Oryzias latipes: one gene and its partner. The protein of the gene in region 1 interacts with the protein of each later gene in a pairwise test. Links are inferred from orthologs where the notes say so. Each region holds a gene or a part of one and is shown in the gene's direction. Other genes may lie near its edges. The genes, in order: zyx and tuft1.

What was found.
Region 2: the proteins of zyx (region 1) and tuft1 interact in binary tests that used the Homo sapiens proteins (3 or more experiments, as listed by UniProt). The link is inferred for Oryzias latipes from reciprocal best matches to the Homo sapiens genes ZYX and TUFT1.

The regions. Positions count from the first base shown.
Region 1 is NC_019874.2:20,179,703-20,189,686, forward strand, and holds the start of zyx (zyxin), read left to right. Parts: upstream 1-3,359; 5' UTR 3,360-3,594; intron 3,595-3,893; exon of another isoform or gene 3,894-4,178; intron 4,179-9,492; 5' UTR 9,493-9,505; coding exon 9,506-9,728; intron 9,729-9,984. UniProt on the Homo sapiens protein: Adhesion plaque protein. Binds alpha-actinin and the CRP protein. Important for targeting TES and ENA/VASP family members to focal adhesions and for the formation of actin-rich structures.
Region 2 is NC_019874.2:18,230,464-18,239,842, reverse strand, and holds the end of tuft1 (tuftelin), read left to right. Parts: intron 1-1,986; coding exon 1,987-2,064; intron 2,065-2,760; coding exon 2,761-2,862; intron 2,863-2,960; coding exon 2,961-3,047; intron 3,048-4,262; coding exon 4,263-4,313; intron 4,314-4,435; coding exon 4,436-4,522; intron 4,523-5,102; coding exon 5,103-5,213; intron 5,214-5,305; coding exon 5,306-5,529; intron 5,530-5,744; coding exon 5,745-5,850; intron 5,851-5,935; coding exon 5,936-6,019; intron 6,020-6,208; coding exon 6,209-6,303; intron 6,304-6,481; coding exon 6,482-6,554; 3' UTR 6,555-7,270; downstream 7,271-9,379. Other genes in the region: uncharacterized protein C1orf43 homolog, read right to left, coding at 8,975-9,188, 9,306-9,364. UniProt on the Homo sapiens protein: Involved in the structural organization of the epidermis. Involved in the mineralization and structural organization of enamel.

The DNA.
Region 1 (9,984 bases):
ATGAAAGTTTTTTATTTTTTCACTTTACCACCCTTCCCTGAATTCCCAAAGTGTCCCAAGCCGAATGCTGATTTGCCGGCTGGTGGAGAAGGTGAGGGAATCTCCAGCTCTCCCAGTCGCCCAGTGCAGCACTGTGATGTGTGTCAGCCTGACACTAACTGGTGAGACCGGCTCATTGCAGCCTTAAGCTCTGGGAGCAAAGTCCTCCCTCCCATGCTAATCTTTGATTTGCACCTAAATGCATAGAGATTTTTTTTTGTGTTTAATACATGAAAATACTAATTCTGTAACACTTTTACATTTTTAAAATGTATTTCAGTCTAATTACTTCCACAGAAAGAACATACATCATCAAAACTTTCAGGAGCGTTTTACTGCTGGATTGTTTGAGACTAAATTTACTTTCTTTGCTCAGCGTAGTCTAAATTTTAATTTCTGATTAAACTTTTGGACCTGCCTGCTATCACTGTGCTTTAGTTTTAGATCCCTTTTTCTCAACTTTACCATTCTTCTGCTTTCTGTTAACCTTCAGTGAGCCTCAACATTTTATTTGTTAACATTTGATTATTTCTCATCAGTGTGCATGTGTACAAGGAAGCTGACCGTTTCTGCATATGTACCGGTAATATATAACTGAATTATTAGATTGATGCTAAAATAAACACATCTGCTTAATGTTAAGGCTTGCAATGTAATATTAATTTCCACTATTTTATGCAATGCAGTATTTCTTTTTTTTACATGTCAAGTCTAGAAGAAAAATTATAAAAACATTTATAGTTTAAAAATGTCTATTTTGAATAAAAACTGTATTACTCAAAATTAGTTACATTTTTTTTAATTTTGACAATATGACAAAAAAGGCTACTTAGGTTTGATATTCATCAATGCAGTCCTGAGCAAAAGCTGTGTAAATAAGCCTTTGTAATGTTATTTTGCGGTTTTTTGTTGATACTTCTTGGATACTGAAGGCCAGTATTCCTTATACTGGCATTGTTTGTTTGTTATGTGTTCATTTGCTATTTTTGCTGAATTGGGAAAACTTAATATTATTAGTTTTAATGGGTCCCCTTACATTTTGAGTTTGAAGTTTAGACGTGACTAAAAAATCTGTACGGCATGAAAGAAATCTGAATTTTTTTTTATTAAGAAAATGATTACATTCATCCACAGAGAAAAGGGGGAAACTGGATGGACTCTCGCTGTTTGGAACTAAAATGATTAGGGAATTAACAATTAAGATTGAGGTGTTATGAGCAGGGCCTGATTTATATGCAGGAGGTGTTGGCCAAGTAGTGGAATAGAGATAGGACTGGAAATAAAAAGTGCAGCGTAAGGAGGAGACAGAGAAAAAAATGAGGTGCTGAAAAAATGCAGCTTTACGGATAGAGGCAGAGAAAAAATTTGGCACATCAGCAGACGCTGAGGGAAGAGAGGTGGGCGCTATTGAGTCCAAGTTCTGGCCGCATTCCAGGCATTCTGCCTAATTCTAAAAGACACCTGTTTTTTTCTTTTTCTTACCTTAAATAAACTCCACACAACCCTTTTCCCAGCTTCATTTACCAATGGCACAACAGTGTTTTGATGTTAGATAAGCACACCCCTGCACAGTTCATGCACATGTCCGTCCCTTGGCTGTCAAGCCTGGTGAATTGGGAGAAATGGCAGAAGAAAAGGCTTTTCTTCAGATTATGTGGTACTGGCATGAGCGATTGCAGCCTCAATATGGATATCCTGCCTTATCCCTCTGGCTCCCCAAAGCTGCTGCTTGGAGTGGAAACTGAGCGCATTTTTGTCTCCCTGGAAATGGGGAGAGAGTGGAAACATTCCTTTGTGAGACAATGAACTATCAAAAACCCTGATAAGCACTCCCCGTAGTTCACAGACGTGACCTGGGCAGCAACAGGTTACACAACAGCTGTTGCAGAGGGCTGTCTGTGTCAGACCTCAACAGGGCAAGCCCATGGTTACACACCCTGAGTGGCATTTAAGCATTGCTTGGCCAAAGAAATCAACTCTTTTTAGTTTGATTGAAATTCCAGAAGGGATTTATACACAAATTACATTATCGTCATTTAAAACGTGTCCTCAATGTTCGGCTCCAATCATCTATTGTAAATGAGTTCCCAGTGGTCTTTTCATTATGGTTATGCCGTTTTAAGGCAAAATCAAATAACCGGTGTCATTTTCCAGGACATAGTTAATCAGAAATTTGCCTGCCTGCATTTCCCATCATCCCTTTGTTTACACTCTCTCCCGCTAACTTACAGCCCCTAATTGGCCCAAGCTAACATTAGTCTTGCAGCAATAATATTGAGCCAAATTGGAGCTGTCCAGCTGTACAGTTTGAACCAGATACCAGCTCAGACGAGAAAAAACAAAGACGTACTTGGATCTAGTCGTCTACAAGTGGATGCATCAGAATGGAGTGCAGCAGGGAGCTTGTGGCCCCACTGTAGCACATATGTCACTGCTACAGTTTTCTTTTTTTGTCTGCTCCTGATTTACAATGACTTGAATAAAGAAATATTCCGAAATCCAACTTTAATCTTAATTTTTTGTTAGATATGTCCTCCATCATCAGAAAAAGTGCAACAAGAACATGTTAAAAACACCAACAACACGATTTTCATTTGAGTGGGTCTTGTTTGAGTCCAGTCTTCAAAGACAAAATATGAATAGAAAGATTCTTTCCAGCTAGGTTAAGGTCATTGCATATATTTCCACAGCTGTTTCCTTCACTTGTGTGGAAGAATAACAATGTCAGAGGTCCAAATATCGTTTTTTTCTCGCAATGCAGACCTGCGTGCATTCACTGATGAAATTTGTTTGACATACATCGTAAATCGACTCAGTCTCTATCTACTTTCTGACGTTTGGTTTTGTCTAAGAAACTGTCTTAACAACCTTCAACTTATCATAACAGTACAATAAAACCTGACCTCTGCATAGAATCGACCTACTTTCAGAAAAACAGTCGACTATCTCACATGGAGAACTCTCCCAGTGAAAAGCAAATAAGGGTTGGGGCTGATCCTGAGCAATATTTTAATCTCTAAACCTCTTGAAATGAGTAAACGTCTAAGTTCTTTCCACGGCTCACGGCGCTTTAACCACTGCACCTCTTTTTGTTTAAACTCCTGACCACTTTTCTGCATCTGATCGGGCCTCTGGCTTCATTATCTCTCCCTCCCTCTGGCTCCCTCATTCCCCCCTGTCTGACCTTACATGGAGAGGCAACAGGGTTGATGTCACCCAATGAAGAATGCCACAAAAATCCAGAGAGAGGAGATCGCAGGAGGAGGAGAAAAGAGGAGGAGGGGTCTGCCTGGACAGTTTAGGATACAGAAAAAGAGAAGGAGGGTGATGTGTCGTAATACTCAAGTCTTGGGCCAAAGTCAAGCGAGAAAGAACTTGTTTGGAAGGATGGAGTCATTCCTTTTCCAGACTTAAAGGCACAAGGGGAGGGTCTTATAGGGGAAGAGAAAAGGAGAAGTTGGTACTACAGAGAACTCTCACTCAGATTAAACCCAGAGGAGGGGGGGAAGGAGAACAAAAGGAAAAGAGGGAACTAATCTGCAGCAGTTTACCAGGGTAAGCAAGCTTTTGTGTGTTTTTGTGACTCAGCACATGAGGAGAGCTGAAGCTGATGACATTCCTCATAGAAATGAGCTTACCTAATAAGGTAAAGCCTTTGCTCTGTCATGAAGGAGCAGGTTTGTGGAATGTTGTCGATTCGTTTAGAAATACTCTTAAATAGAAGGACATCACTCTGTTGCAGTAGTATAAACCTTTTTTTTTAATAATATGTTATTATTTATTGGCACAAATATCCCCCGATCTTAAATGAGTGACAATGCGGGCTGCAGATGACTGCTATGCGGAAGCTCCGACAGGAAGTCCAGCAGAAAACTTCTGTAAGCTAAGCTAGCTGGGTGTTTTTTTTTAATGGCCGATCATATACAGAGGAAATATTAGCGTAGATGGATGCCACTCGGCTAAACATTGACGTGTCCATATGAGGTAATGATCAAGGTGTGGGGGTGTTGGTTCGATTCACCGCAGAAGCCGAGTGACTAAAGCCTTGCACACTACTAGGGGTGTGTGCAAGTGGTCTGACCTAGCCAAACGCTTCTGTTGGATGAATGAGAGGTGTCGTTTTCGTTCGAGGCTCTCAGGTGAGTGTTGATTTTGCCCGTAGATAGATTTCAAAACAAATAAATCTCAGTGTAGTTTAAGGTAAAATTAGCATATTTTTTTAGGGTCACCGGAGTTATTAGGTACAGTGACTGTGCTAGCTAGCCTTTATAGTGAGATGGAACAGTTTATGCCTCTGTGTCTTACATTCTAAAGTCTGTGGCGCCATCAGAGCATAATCATATTGAGGGCCAAATGGGTCCAATAAAAATATGTGGTGTAGTAGTACTAGTTCTTCCTGTGTTGAAATTATCAGTTTAAATTTAGGTACTTGTTGGTACCAAGTACTTTAATATAACAATAAATAGATTTTACATCAATTTTGAGAAATTAACTTGTTTTGCATGATTAAAAACTTTTTTCTAGCTGTTTCAACACCTCGTCAATATCCAACTTATTGAAACAAATAACTATATTTTTAAAAGGCTTTAAATATATCTTACAATTTCCGTTCTCTAAAAAAAACATAAAACAGAAGATTATTTAATGAATTTTGAACAATTTCTTTTCATTCACTTATTTTTTTTTTTTTTAAATATCCACAAAATTATTAGGACTTTGAGTCTTTTTAATTAAACACCAGTCGGTCAAAAGTACTGGCTTCATTTCAAAAGTTAGCAATATATTTTATTTTTACAATTATTGTATTTATTTAAAGATACTCGAATTGAGTATAGTCTTTATTTTGGATCCTTCCTACTTCCTCTTTGGGTTTTGCATAGACAGACTGAACCCATTTATTTTAATTACTGCCCCCTACTGGTGCAGGCTAGAATCTTTTTCGATTAAGCTAGCCCTCTTTGTAGCCACAAACATTAAAAAACCTGTGTTTTTTCATCTGTAAATTTCATTACATAATCTGTTAAATTTGCATTAAATATTACAAGGGTGAGCAAATAAAACAAAGGATTCAGCAGAAGCTCCGGCAGCTTGGTTGTGATGCTGTACTTGTTTCTGCCTGTGGACAGTTACTCAGCTGGAGCTTTAAAGGTTGATTCAAGCTGAGGGCATAGATGAGAAAACCTGTTTTAGATTGGTGTTGGTTATTATTCTAAAAAACCACATGGGACCAGAAGGATGTTTGTCTGCTTATTCACATTCATAAATCCGCTGGGATTACATCTCATGCTGAAGAGTTTTTGCTTCTGCCTGACGTCATGTTCAAGCAAATCTGAGTTTCAGCTTTTCCACAGACAGGGAGGTTTAACGGGGTTTGAAACTTCTAGTAATGTGCTTTAATTTTGTTTTTTATTTGTAGCATCAACATTTCTCCTAATTGTAAGTGAGACTAAACCCCAAGGCTGCAGTGAATAAACTATGTTTAAGAAGAGAATAGTGGGAGACAACTGTAGTCTGAGGTACTAGTGGTGCTTACTTTGTGGTGCTTCTGACATCTTGATGAGTAAAATTAAACACAGCATGACACGAAGAATGAGAGGAATCTTCCCTAATTGTAGCCTCTGTTAGTCAGAGCATTTATTTGGCTCAAAGCCCTTCTTGTCAAATGCTTTTATTATGTCTCTTGCCGTCTTGTGACTTTTCTTTGGCCCACATTACTCCGTGAGAGCGGGCCTGTTGATCCAGGGAGGGGCTTTGAGGTGTCGTCTGATTCAGAATTCGGTTGCTTGTGATTTAAAAATGTGGAAATGCAGCCTGTTGTGTTATTTCTGTTGCTACGGTTGCAAAAGATCTACGTCACTGGCACACAATATGTGTCCAGTGACCTGTGAGAACACACTCGAAAGGGTTGTTTGACACCCCCCTCCCCCCTCCCCTGCATTAGCAACCCCTGACCTAGACACGCTTTCTTTGAAACCGGGTGTGTTATTACCATCAGAACAATGGATGGGCTTCAACAACAACAACACAAATACTGTGAGAAATTTGGTGTTTTGGTTGGTAATTTGATATCTTCCTTTCTAGAAGATTGCTTAAGATCTGCTTGCTTACTGAGCCAATGTGGCAATATTCCTAACAGGGTTTTTGGCGATAGACATTTGATGACACATTTTTACAACATAATGTCTCATTGCTTACTTAAAGGAGGATAAAAATCTGTTTTTTAATCATCTTCATCTGGAAGACAAAAACAAAAAGAGGGCCAAAAATACCCTGGCTTACTTCTCCTTTCATACTTTTGGTGAAAAGTTCAGATATGCCAGAAAAGCTGCTCCTTGGTACCCTTCTGCCCAGCTTCAAAGAAGTCATGCCATTTCTCCCACCAGGGATTTCCCAATCTGTTAATGAGTCCAGCAACCCCGCTGGCCCATCAGTGTAGTTTAGGCCATTTATGTTCCCATCTGTACATACATTTGTGGGATGAAGAAAGTCAAAAGCTGCAGTATCCAGATGGTATGAAAGTTGTCCAGCAAAAACCTGACGCTATTATTGGGCCCAAAAGAACTGCGTGTGATTGGAGCTGGAGCCCTTAAAAAGAAAAGGTACATGAAGTGATTTCCCTTCACAGCTGCAAAGCAGGAAAATGGAATGCGACCTCAGATGATGTCATGCAGTTCAAGTAGTTGCTGAGACTTGACTGAGAGGCTGACGATGGAGATAAAAATCACATTCGTCCGAGCCTCAAGCGATACACGGAATGTCTGGGAATCGTTTGTCGTTGTGGGGGTTCAGAAACGATGGATGAGGGGGAGAGTGGAGATCTGAAAAAGTGATGTCATCTGGTTGTTGAGCCAAACGTGGGCTTTAGCGAGGGGGCTGTGGTCTCAGGTTTCACCGTACCTTCATGTCTGAGGCTGACTGCATCACTGATCTCACCCAGCCAAACCTCTGAGGGCTTTATTAAAGGTCCAGAGGAAGTCTTACAGAACTTACTCACCCTGATGCATTATTTAAAGGACTATTGTGTCAGTCACACAAAGTGGAGTGATGGTGACAGTATAGACTGCTTTCAAGCAGTTTACATCATCCTTGCTAAGCCCCACCTCCTGCTTAATTATTAGAAGTCATTTACTCTGTTAACTCAAGTTTTCTCCATTCACTCTGTGTTTACATTTTCCGTTTTGTGTATACAATAAAAATATTCGCTTCAGCTGAAGCTGCACCATCTGGCCTTTCAAGGTCAAGTTCAAGAACCCGACGTCCCGACAAGGTGAAATTCCTCAGTAATTGTGTTCCTGCGACACAATATTTTTGTTAAGTGTGTAGCTCTGTATAAAACAAAAAAACCAAGCACATTTCTTATTCCTCTCCTCTGTTTCACCCCAGTATTGCACTGTGAAGTAGTAAGGGAGTCAAAATGGGTTTTAATGATTGATGACACAATCCAGGGCAGTGAGAAGGCCATGGTTCCAATCACCTTTCTGTGTGGAGTTTGGATGTTGTGCATGCAAAGGTTTTCTCCAGACACTCCAGCTTCCTCCCACTGTTCAAAGACGTGCTTCATAACATTGGAGTTGATTGGAGTTGCTGGGATAGGCTCCAGTAACCCCATGACCCGAAAAAGGGATTCAGTTGGTTCAGTTGATGGGTGTCTGGATTACATGATCCTGACATGGTAGAAGTGAAAAACTGACACTGTTTTTGTTTTTAGTGTTTACATTAAGACTTTTACTGGTTTTCCCCCCTGTGAAGTTTAGCACATCTGAATTAAGACTCATTAAAGATCCACACTTGTTAGTCCTAATACCAATAGGCAGCCTTGTTTTCTCATTGATGAAGTGCAGATGCCCATTAGTCTCTTCTGCAAGTCTGCTCTGATTTTATTATTTTTGGAATCACGAGTTGCAGCCTCTAATTTTCAATTTTTACTTTCATTAGAACAGCAACAACACACTTGTTGCACATCTTACACTTTAGTCTGATTCTCAAATAAATCCAGCATGTTTTTTTGGCCTTTTCTTAGTCATGTGGTTGAATCTTTTAATCAACATAATTTTTGCTTACCTAGGGTAAGGGGGTATATAATTCCTGCATAATTAGACTTTAGTTTATGGTGTAAAAGAGTCATCCTAGCATTAACAGCAGAGATGCTCTTTGCAAGTTCAACTCGGTCAATATGTGTCGTGGAATTATAGCAAAAAAATAAATAGAATTCTTAGGAATTCTAACCTGTTTCTATGAGATTCTGCCTTGTGACAAGATAAAATGTCAGCTTTTGTCTTTGTGAAAGTCACAGCAGTTCTGTTCTGTGTGGGGCTCTATTGTGTCTATAGTTCCCATTTCAGACTGGCTTGTGTGACTCTTAGTCACTTGCGTGACTCAGACTGGTTCTTCTGTTTTCATAAATCAGCTGATGCCTCGGCATCAGTAGCAAACGCACAGCCTCAGTGCTGAACCTCAGGTCTTAAATAAATGTCACGACATAGAAATAATAATAATTGCATGTTTCCTGATGACTTCACCCTGCTTAATAGTTTCCAGATGCCGCTCGCACTGTATCGTATCACAACTACATGCCAGAGTCTATGACTCTCTAAACCAACTTGATTTACTTCCTTCTACAATTTAGATTTCTGTTTTAATGTGTAACCATTTCAAAGCTACAAAGGCCCTGCTTTTCATTTCCATGTGTGTGTCAGGAAAGGCGATGCTTGTATGATTTTACAGATCTGACAGAAGATTAAAGCAGCAGTAATTGTGTTTTTGATTGAAGCCTCAAAGGCTCATTGGCTGTGATCTAAAAGCAAACAAAAAGAAAACTTAATGTGGAAAAGATTTCCATATTAAAAGTTTTCAAAATGCAATAAAAACAATAGGTTGCTAATTTTTTCACTCTTTTGCTAACTTTGCTGTCTGTGCGTCCCTTTATTATGTTGTGAAGAACTTATTCCAAACCGTGTGTTGTCATAAGCTTATGTTTTACAACTTCTGCTAATTCCTTTTTTTATTCTAAAAAGTGTTTAATTGCAAGGTTAGCATTAGCATAACAAACGTAGCAACCATTGAGGCTAATCTTGAAAGCTCACCAAAATAAAAGCCCAAATGAACCAAAATGTCATTGAGATGTCAAGAATCTGTAAATGTATATAGTGCAACAACTGATGTGTAGCTGTAAAAATGTACTTCTTGTGTTTTATAATACCTTTTTGTTTGTAAAAGACTTTCTGTTTTAAGTTTGCAACATTGCTGAGTCAAATGCTTAGCTGATGCGTCCGTTCCACCATTTCAAGTAAAAAATCCCAGCAACCAAACACAGCAAAGGAATGGAAGCCTTTGATTTCTGCCTGCCGATGAAGGCTACTTTCAGATTTAGGGTGTGGAGAAAGATTGGTTTGAGCTCCGCAGCTGCAAAATGTTGATTTTTCTTTTTCTTTTTTTTTTGTATTTCTTTTCTAGATAAGCAAACAAAATGGAGGAATCCAGCAGTAACAAGCCATTAGTGGTGACTTCGTCTTTGAACTTCAAAGTCACCACTCCATCCTTCTACAACCAGCCAAAGAAGTTTGCATCGGTGGCACCGCCGCGGCCCAAAAGTCAGACGCCTCCCTCGGCGCCATCACCCACGCCACTCGGCACAGCAGTTATTGGCAGAGTGGGGGACCTGCCTCCACCTCCATCTTCACTCTGTGATGGTATTAACACCGTTTTAAATTGATGCAATAAGCCATTTTTGGTTAGTTTGGCTATCAAAATGGCACCTTATTTTTTCCCAACTTGCTTTTTTTTTTGGAAACCGTAAAAAAAATAAAGCTTAACATTTCAGAGAAAAACAAAACTAAAAGGAACTTTTCAGTCGCCGTTCTTCGTATATTTTTTATATTTAATGTTGTTTTTTGTAATCACATTGAAATGCATGAATAAACGGACACATTTTAATTTGTTTCTTTT
Region 2 (9,379 bases), about 1.9 Mb from region 1:
TGTCTGCCTTCCCAGGGGTTAGTGTTTCACAGATTGTGTTTGATGATGGGATAGTGAGCATTTTTGGATGTGAAAGAGAAAGCAGACGGTGAGGCTGGAGCGTAAACATTTTGGAGTCTAGATTAGGAGAAACCCTGTTTATGTGTGAGAGTCCGGAAAGGTTTTTACAATGAGAAATTCCTTCTCAACAACGCCCCCGCTCCCACCCACTGTTCCTGTCCCAACGGTGGTGTCCTGTTAACCCGAAAGCACTTTATTTAAGAGAAACTTCTCCTTTTGTGTCTCTCCGCTCTGTTTGTTGAACTTGGACTAAGTCTCATCTAGGAGGTTGGTTCTTCATTTGATCCTGTCCTTTCCAAGTCCGTCTGCCTCTCTCTGCTTTTTGCTTTCATCTCTTCAGTTCCGGCACAGATAACAGAGGATCTCGTGCTTCAGCTTCCCTTTAAGGCTGGCTTCATTTCCGCCCTGCCAGACTAAATTGTTTTTCTGACCAACAGTTTCACAGGTTTAAACTACTGGTACATATTTTTTTCCATTTCCCCCAACAATTTCTAAAAATATACATCATTTAAGACCAAAGAAGAGTCACCAGTTCTCATAATTTGAATTTTAAATAGATGTAAACTGGTCATACAGTAACTAGTTAAACTAAATGGGAGCAACAGTTGAGCTAAAACTGACAAATTAAAGCCCAAATCTCCAACAAAACACTATCTTCTGTTGTGGTAAATAAAGCTTCGACAGATAAAGGGGTTTGAGGGAACAGCTAAGTGTCAGTTAAACAGATGAAGTTTCATTTCTTCCCACATAAGGCTGTTGTGACTGAACTGAGATAAGGGGTCATTATGAAAGTGTGGGAAAGCCTGGAGGAACCCACTTTTATCACAGGACAACTGTGAGAAATGAGATGTTTGCCATGTATTATGCTGTGCGTGAAGCGTCTCCTCATATGACGCTCCTTATATGATCAAGTTTGAGGCATTGTGTTAAATGAGCGTAGATTTGATACGCCGCAGGTCAGAAAAAAGAAAAGTGGAAGTTATTTATTAACGGATAAAGAAGGAAAGGCATTCCTTACTGTTCCTAGCCGACTCTTTCTCAACAAAAAATCAGCGTTTGTTCTTTATCAAAGTTTTAACTAGCTAGTTATAATAAATGACTGATTAGTCTGAGCATGTGTGTCTGTGTGTGTGTGTGTGTGTCTGACAAACATTTGTATGTAGTTTCAGTGCTGACATAGGGAGGAGACTAGATCTATTCGGGAGAAAATAAACACAAGTTATGTTAACTGCAATGAGTTATGCAATGTTTCCCACCTCCTCCCCCCTTTCTTCCGCATACTTACCCCTGACACAGTTGGGGGGCTACTGTGAGCTGGAGGACCCACACCCAGTGGCATCCTGCTTTCAACCTTTAACTATTAAAGGGGCTGTTTTGAATGACTGCAGTCAACTGTCTAAGAAAGTTAGGATGGAATAAAAGTGTTTTATATTGACCCAATACTGTTTCTTTTTTGTTTTGTTTTTTTGGTGGGAAAAGCATTAGTTGTGAGGCTTAATGTTGATTTTTCACCTTAAACTGAATCTGCTGTCTTTCATCGTGACAGTTTATGGCGACTGTGTGGATTTGCTGCCATGGAAATATTTTCTCTTACTCAACAGAGGACCTTCTGCCCACTTTCCCAGAAAATCCAGCCTCTCGCTACGATTGGCTGTGAGCATCTGGAGGGCTTCTGCCTAAATCCCCCTGACGTCTACAGCAAACAGTTGAAATCAGAGTCTGTCTGCTGTAGCGAAAAAACTTTTGCCTATAGTGCGAGTCTCTCGCAGGGTACCGCCCCCCCCGTCTCTCCTCCCGGGTCCTCGGCGAGTGTGACTCAGTCTGCCCTCCTCTTTTTCCTTCTCCTCCTCAAAATAGTCCCTGAGCAGGCTCTCCATCACATAACGGCCTCTTTGAGCGCTCACTTCATCTCCGTCTGACTTTCAGGAGGGGTGCAGGCGACTGCGGCTCACACTCCACGACCAGAGCGAGGCGGCTCGGAGCTCGGAGCAGCACCGGGACAAGGTAAGAGGTCCTCTGAGGGAAACCAGGCTGACGTTTTGGATGGAACTTTTCCTTTGACTTTTGTTTATCCGAGTTGGAAAAAAAGGACCAACTTTCTTTAGCCCTCTGAATCCTAATTAGTTCCATGACGTTTATCATAGACAGAGCTCCCAGCATTCCTGCACACTCACTTAGATATCCTCTGCTGGAGCTGCCATCTGCTTCTCGCTGTTGTGGTTACCACACACTTAAAACTTCTAAAGACCTTCATTGTTCCACCAAGACCAGTGGGACACACAGAATGGAGGCGTTGCGTAATCCCTCCTCCCCTCTTCTTCTCCTTCTGCATTTGCTTCTGCCAAGTCTGTCCACCCTTCCAAAAAAAAAGCACCAAAAGTTTATTGGTCAGTTTCCATGGCGATTTGGTTGTATCTTTCTTGGCCTCCTGCTGATCATGGCTCTCAGTCTGTCACATGAGTACAGGGTAAATGTGCTCGTAAGAAGACTGCATGTTCCCTGTTCTGACGTTCCAGCGTTTCATTTGCGTCAGCGCTGAAGACATTCCAGTCAGATTTTACGAGGATCATAAACAGATGTTCTGCTGGCTGCTGTGTTACAACACTGATCAGAAACGACTCCCCTAATATTTTCCCTCGGGGGTACATTTGCGTACGATCGCTGGAAAATGTTTTTCACTTCCTGCTTTCTGGTCTGCAGCCAGTCGGGCGAGCTTTTGCAGTGGTGCAGCCAGCCAGTGAGCGGCCGACTCTGAGCGCAGAGCCTGTGAAGTCCACAGAGGAGCAGGTGGAGACCATAAAGGTGGGTGTGACTGTTTCTGTAATGGCAACCTCCTTTTTTTTTTTTTTGTATTTGTCTGCTCAACAGGTGTGCATTCCTGATGTTCTTCCTTGTTCCAGGTGTATCTGGAGGCTCGCAGACAAGAGCAGCAGAACCAACAGCAGAACCTGAAGATGCTGTCAGACGAAGTCTCACAGATACAGGAGGTCAGTTTGGATATCATCTGAAGCAGATGCATATGTTTACATGTTTGTTTATGTGATTGAGTTGTATGGGGTCTAATGAGAATCAGTTTAAAGTGAAGGGAAAATCAGATGGTAAATTTGAAATAAAAAAATGATTTGAACATTTGAAAACAGGTTTTAAACTTAAAAGTACACATCATAAACTTGAAGGAAATATTAAAAAATTCAATTGTAAATTTGAGAAATATATATTTTAAATGAGAAAAAATGTAAAACTTGAAATAAATAAATAAATCTTAATTTTACATGGGGGTGGGGCTTCGAGCCCATTTGTTACGGGGACATGATTGGCATCAGGTGATAGAGGTTATGGGGACATCATTTCTGCCCCAAAAAAGTGTTTGTTGTTTGAGGCTCCTGTGTCATCTCTCCTTTTTAAATTCAAGTTTCCAATGTACATGTTTTTTTCCCTATATTAAATATTTCTTTGAAGTTTAAAATATGTTTTTTCAAATTTACAATTTTATTTTTCAAAACTTCAATATTTTTCACGTTTTCTATATTTTTTTAAGTTTCAAATATATTTGTTTCAAATTTGCTAGTTTATCTGTTTTTTTATATACAATATTTTCTTCATGTTTGCAATGTGTTCCATTTTTTTAATTTACAATCTGATTTTTCCGCTTCCCTTAAGATGATCCTGAAAACTTCAGTTTGTCTTTACAAGATTAAAACCCTTGGAACTATTTATGAAAACTAACTTGATACAATTTTCTACTTAAATTCCCCAAAGAATAAAACTTTTACTATTCAAGCCTCTTAAATGATAGCCCAAAGTTAAAAGTTATTTTTCATAAATAAAAAACAACATTAGCTATAATAAGATGCTAGAAAAGCTTGAAGTCTGACCTGGAAATGGTTTGAAAATGTATTTTCATTAGATTTTGTTCTAAAATGGGATTTATTTGGCAAAAGATCTTGAACCTAGAAAGTTTAACCTATTAAAATGAACTTTAACACATATTTAGTCTGTAATAAATACCTCTGAAATGACGGCATAAACACATTGTTGCTGACTCTGAGAAATTGAAGGCGGGGTGTGGTTTTAAGGGTTAATTGCTATTATTACTGTGTCACCTCAGTAGTTCATCATGAAAAGGCCACATTCAAAATCCAAAACACCCAAACCTCTCCTCTTAATGTTATTAACGGACAGCATTCCTTTCTTTCTTGCAGGTGAGGTATTGCCTGAAAACCCTGAGGGAGCAGATGGCAGCTAAAAGCAAGGTAGAAAAACTCATTTGTTCTCTTCTTTTTTTCATTGTTAGCGCCACATCCTCTCTGCTTGTAGTTTCCAGACTTTCTGGTCTCCATCATTCCATGCTAACTTCCTCCTTTTCTCTTTCCAGCCGCACACAAACGGGTGGAAGGTCAGCATTCCTTTCAGAAAGAGCTCCTCGTCCGTCCCCAAAGAATCGGCCAGAGCCAACACGCAGGTCAGCACTGAGAATCTGAAACACGATTGTGTTTCTTCTAAATGTCTGAGCCTTTTTGGTTAGTGATGTAGTTGACAGAAACGCAGAAAAAATCCCTTGTAAACTCAAACAAGGTTATGTGGGAAAATAAAGAGACTTTAATAGAATGAAAGGATGAAATGCCCCTCCCAGGATGCATAAAAATGCATAGAGGAGCTATTCCAACACATTGGGTTTCCTTCCCTGCTTTTTTTGTTGGCTTTCCTCTTCAAATCCCGTAATATTTTTGTTGTCGTCCTCTCGTAACACACGTCAGCAAAAACAACACAGTTGTGTATGTTTGCTTACTTGCTTACAGCACTTGTGAGACACTTGTGGTTGTAGTGGTGACTCACGGTGCAGCTCGCCTGCATACCAGAGGTGTTGCAGAAAAAGGAGGGAGTCTCTGGTCAACAGCCAACTTTTCCAGTGACGCACACTAACACGCCTGTTTTCGTTATGACAGTGAAACCCACAGAGCCGAGTGTTGCATGGATTTTCATTACCTCATAGTAAAATATTTGGATTATGTGGTCTTGACGATTCCTTCCGAACGTTGCAGGATGTAGACGACGAAGCGGAGAGAGACAACCTGAGAGAGGTCAGCAAGCGCTTATATGCTCAGCTGCAGGATGCAGAGAAAAAACATCTGGAGGAGAAAGAGAAACTCCAGGTGAGGCATGGGTTGTATTCTGCATTCCACTCATCATTTTACAGTTAAACCAAACCAAAGGCCACATTGAAACTGAACTGCGTCTGTTCCAGGCTGAGGGCTACCAGCTTAAAAAACGTCTCAGTGAGCAGGAGAAGAAGTTGAGGAGTGCAGAGGAAGCAGGCGATCAGAAGGACTTGCGCATCGAAGAGCTCCAGAGGCTTCTGGGAGGAATGGAGCAGGAGAGCGCCACCCTCAGGGAGGAATTCCAACGCCGTGAGAACGAACTGAAGGAGCTGCGGAGGATCAGAGAAGATGGCCACAAAGGGGAGCAAAGGTTAGCGTCAAATATCACATTAAAGACCGTCCGTCTATCTTTGGAACTATTTTAAAAGTGTTCCCAGTGTTCCCTTTTAATTATAATGAAAAATATAATTTCGCTAAAATAAAATAAAAAACATGTTAAAACCAACAAAAACACAATTTTCATTGGAGTGGGTCTTTATAGTGCTGCAACTCAAAGTGCTGCAACTCTCTGGGTGTTCTTCTTAGGTCTGAACAGTTGGAGAAAGAGGTCGCTATTCTCAAAGAAAAGATCCACCATCTGGATGATATGCTGAAAAGCCAACAGAGGAAAGTCAGACACATGATTGAACAGGTGAGACGCACATGTGTGAGAATCTAGAACCTCATCTCCATGCTCATATTTTCACAAGGCTTACTCTGTGTTTGTCTGTCTTCAGCTCCAGAACTCGCGCATGGTGCTTCAGGAGCGGGACCGCGTGATCAAAGACTTGGAGGAGAAAGTGGCGTTTTTGGAAGCCGAGGTGAGAACTGCACTCTATTTCCTTTCCTCAAAATGTCTCAGGAACTTTGAAAAAGCAGACGCTTTTTAAAAGAAAAATCAGCAAAAGCAGCTTTGTTTGGCCGGATCTTTGCAAAGATTGTGTTGTTCCTGAAATTAATTCTGCCTTTTTAATGTTAATTTAATTCTTTAAATCATCTTGAATTCTCAGAATCGAGAAATGCATGACCAGGTGGACTACTTTCTGGGAGGACAAAGGCCAAAATCCTACCATTCATCGGAGCGCAACCCCCAGATTGTTTACAGGTAGCCAGTTTTGCCTTCACTCCAACATTTCCACTGCAAATGTTGCAAAATACAGCTTGCAAAAATGTCATTAATTGTTTTTTGTAAATGGCTAAAATTAATTTTTGGTTAAAAAAAAAGATCTTGCGGTAATTTCTGACATATTTTATACTTCAAAGTGTCTTTGTTTTTCCAACAGTAAGCCACTGAAGCTGTCCACCTCCTCCAACAAACCGCTCCCTTTCATCAAAGTCATCGAGATCAAGTCATGAAGGATGGAAAGAAAAGAGGAGAAGGACAGAGGAGCACTTACACACCACCTGACTGCAGAATTTAGACAGCAGCTCTGCTGACAACAGACTGACCTATAAGGAGATCAGAGCTGAGCCTTCCAATACTGCAGCTGCAACTTCACTAACTTTCAATTTTCAATTGACCTCCTTTTCCTTGCTCTGGTTTGGTGACCCGTTTAGCATTTATGATGTCGTATGAAAACTGCATCTTTATCGTTTTACAAGTTCACAGCCTCATAAAGTAATGTAGCATCAATGTAATGAAGATGAAGTGGTGTCATGACAACAAAACATGCTAACTGGTCCTGAATTTTGTGTTTTAATAGTTACTCACCCATGACTGCAGTTGTTGTGCCTATGATATTGTGCTTTGAAAAGTAGCTGTTGACTATATTAAAAACTATTTGGATTTTGTTTCATTAGTGATTGAACTAAAAAAAAGGCACTTTAGACACTCAAATGAAAGATAGTGCATTTGTGTTTTAGCCTTCTCAGCACCTCTAGACTTCAATTCCCCATCATTTTGCTTTTGTACAGATGTTTTGTTGTTTGTGATGCGGTGTTTTAATTTTTTAACTTCCCTGTGTTTTATTTATTTATTTTAATAACCTGTCAACTGTTTGATAGAGACGCTTGTAAAAAGGCTAATCTGTAATATGCGTTTGTGCTTTTCTGAATAAAAGGCTTTGAATTAACGTGGCTCTATGAGACTTTGCTTAACCCCATTGATGCAAATATGCATCAAACCACATCTGCTTTAACCCTTGTGCTATCTTAGATGACCCCACCCTTACTATGACGTGTTATTCCTACCATGATAAAGGTGGAAAGATTTCATGTAATCCATAGACACCAATGAAGATCACAAATCATTGAAGAAAAAAGGTTCAGAGCACTATCTAGTAGACCCACTAGATAGTGCTCTGAACCTTTTTTCTTCATTTAGACCCAAATGACCCAACTCCCAACGTTAAAGTGCATAGGATAGCACAAGGGTCCATGCAACATCTACTTGAAAGCAAAAACAATACTGATTTAATTTTTAATAGCTGGGAAATATTTTAGTTGTCATGGGGTTAAAAGCTTGAAAATGAGGACCTCTCCTGGGCCTAACTGGTACTACAAGTGTACTCATAAGCAGCATCATATCACACAATGAACCATTACATTATATTTTAACCTTTCTGCTATCCTTATATCCTTTAACATTGGGAGTTGGGTCATCTAGACCCACTAGACCAGGGGTGGGCAATTCCAGGCCTCGAGGGCCGGTGTGTCTGCATGATTTCCAGATAGTCTTGCCCTACTCATGGCTGATTACCTGGTTCAGGTGTGTCCAGCCAATTAGAACGTGCCAGAGCAGGGTATGCTGGAAAACATGCAGGAATGCGGCCCTCAGTGCCCACCTCTGCACTAGCCAGTGCGCTGAACCTTTTTTCTTCAATGATTTGTGATCTTCACTGGTGTCCATGGATTACATGAAATCTTTCCACCTTTATCATGCTAGGGAGAACACGTCAATGTAAGGGTGGGGTCATCTAAGATAGCACAAGGGTTAATGAGCTATACTAATGAGTAAACACAAAAACACTTTTACAACTAGAAAAGTACCAAAAAGCATATTGAGTATATTCTTTATTATACTGATCAGGTGCATAAAAACACTATAGGCAGTTTTTGTGAATGCAAAAGCTTTTGCTTATGTTTTGACATGACAATTTTAATAAGAAACACATTAAAGAAAATGCTAAATGTCATATATGAACATGTATCAAACACAACCAATAGAATACCCTTAATAAAATAAAATAAACTCACCTGAGGCCACACCTCAAACCTAAGAGCACGTTCATGAACTAAAATACTCATCGGTTAAAGTTACATTGCACTAAAGTAACAAATACACATGGAACTAATTAAAATAAAATAAAATCACCAGTTCCTGAAAATAATTAGAGCTTTTGTAACAGAAGCACCCAAATTTATCATAAAAAATGTACATAAACAGGAATATCTTTTATGTGTGAAACAGCTTTTTATATTTGCTAAAAACTCTGTTCACTTTTAAACAAAATATTCAACACGTGTGTGCAAATGCCTTTATATTGTGATATTGTGATATAGGTACTGATTGTCTTATTCCATTGCATAGCCTCATAGCTTTACTTTTTTTTTGGTCAAATCAACCCTCCTTATGTTGTATCACCCCAATATAGAATTTAAACATGCAATAATGCAAAATAATTAAAGTTACACAGAAAGAGTGAGCTGATACACATGAGTGGAGCAGGCAGTGCATGTTAAGATAGGAAGGCAACATTTTTTTGTTTTCTATCAGGCAAAGGTGACATGGTCCTGTACAGGCACTCGTCACTGGCACTATTTTCTCTGATCATGCATTATGCAATATTATCCAGCGTGTTGTAGTTGTCTTTAAAGTTCTTCAGCTCCAGGAAGTGTCTGGGCTTCTTGCTGCGCTGCTGCAAAGAAGACGTGAGGTAGGCAGTTTGGTCCGGAGACACCGAGGCGCCTGGAGGCTCAGAGGGGCTGGACAGGTCTGCAGCTGCAGACTGGTGGAGCTGACTCGCAGTGGAGCTGCCGCCAGACTTCACACTGAGGAACGCGCAGAGGAGGAGACTGCTCAAACTCAATAATTCATTTCCTGTTAGAGAATTCAAAACAAAACCAAAACAGCAAAAGAACGGGTACAAAGAAAGGTTGTTTACGTACATAGAAGCCAGTTCGACAAGAGCCTCCTGGTATTTTAAAAATTCCTCTTCACCAAAAGCCTGAAGACAAAAAAA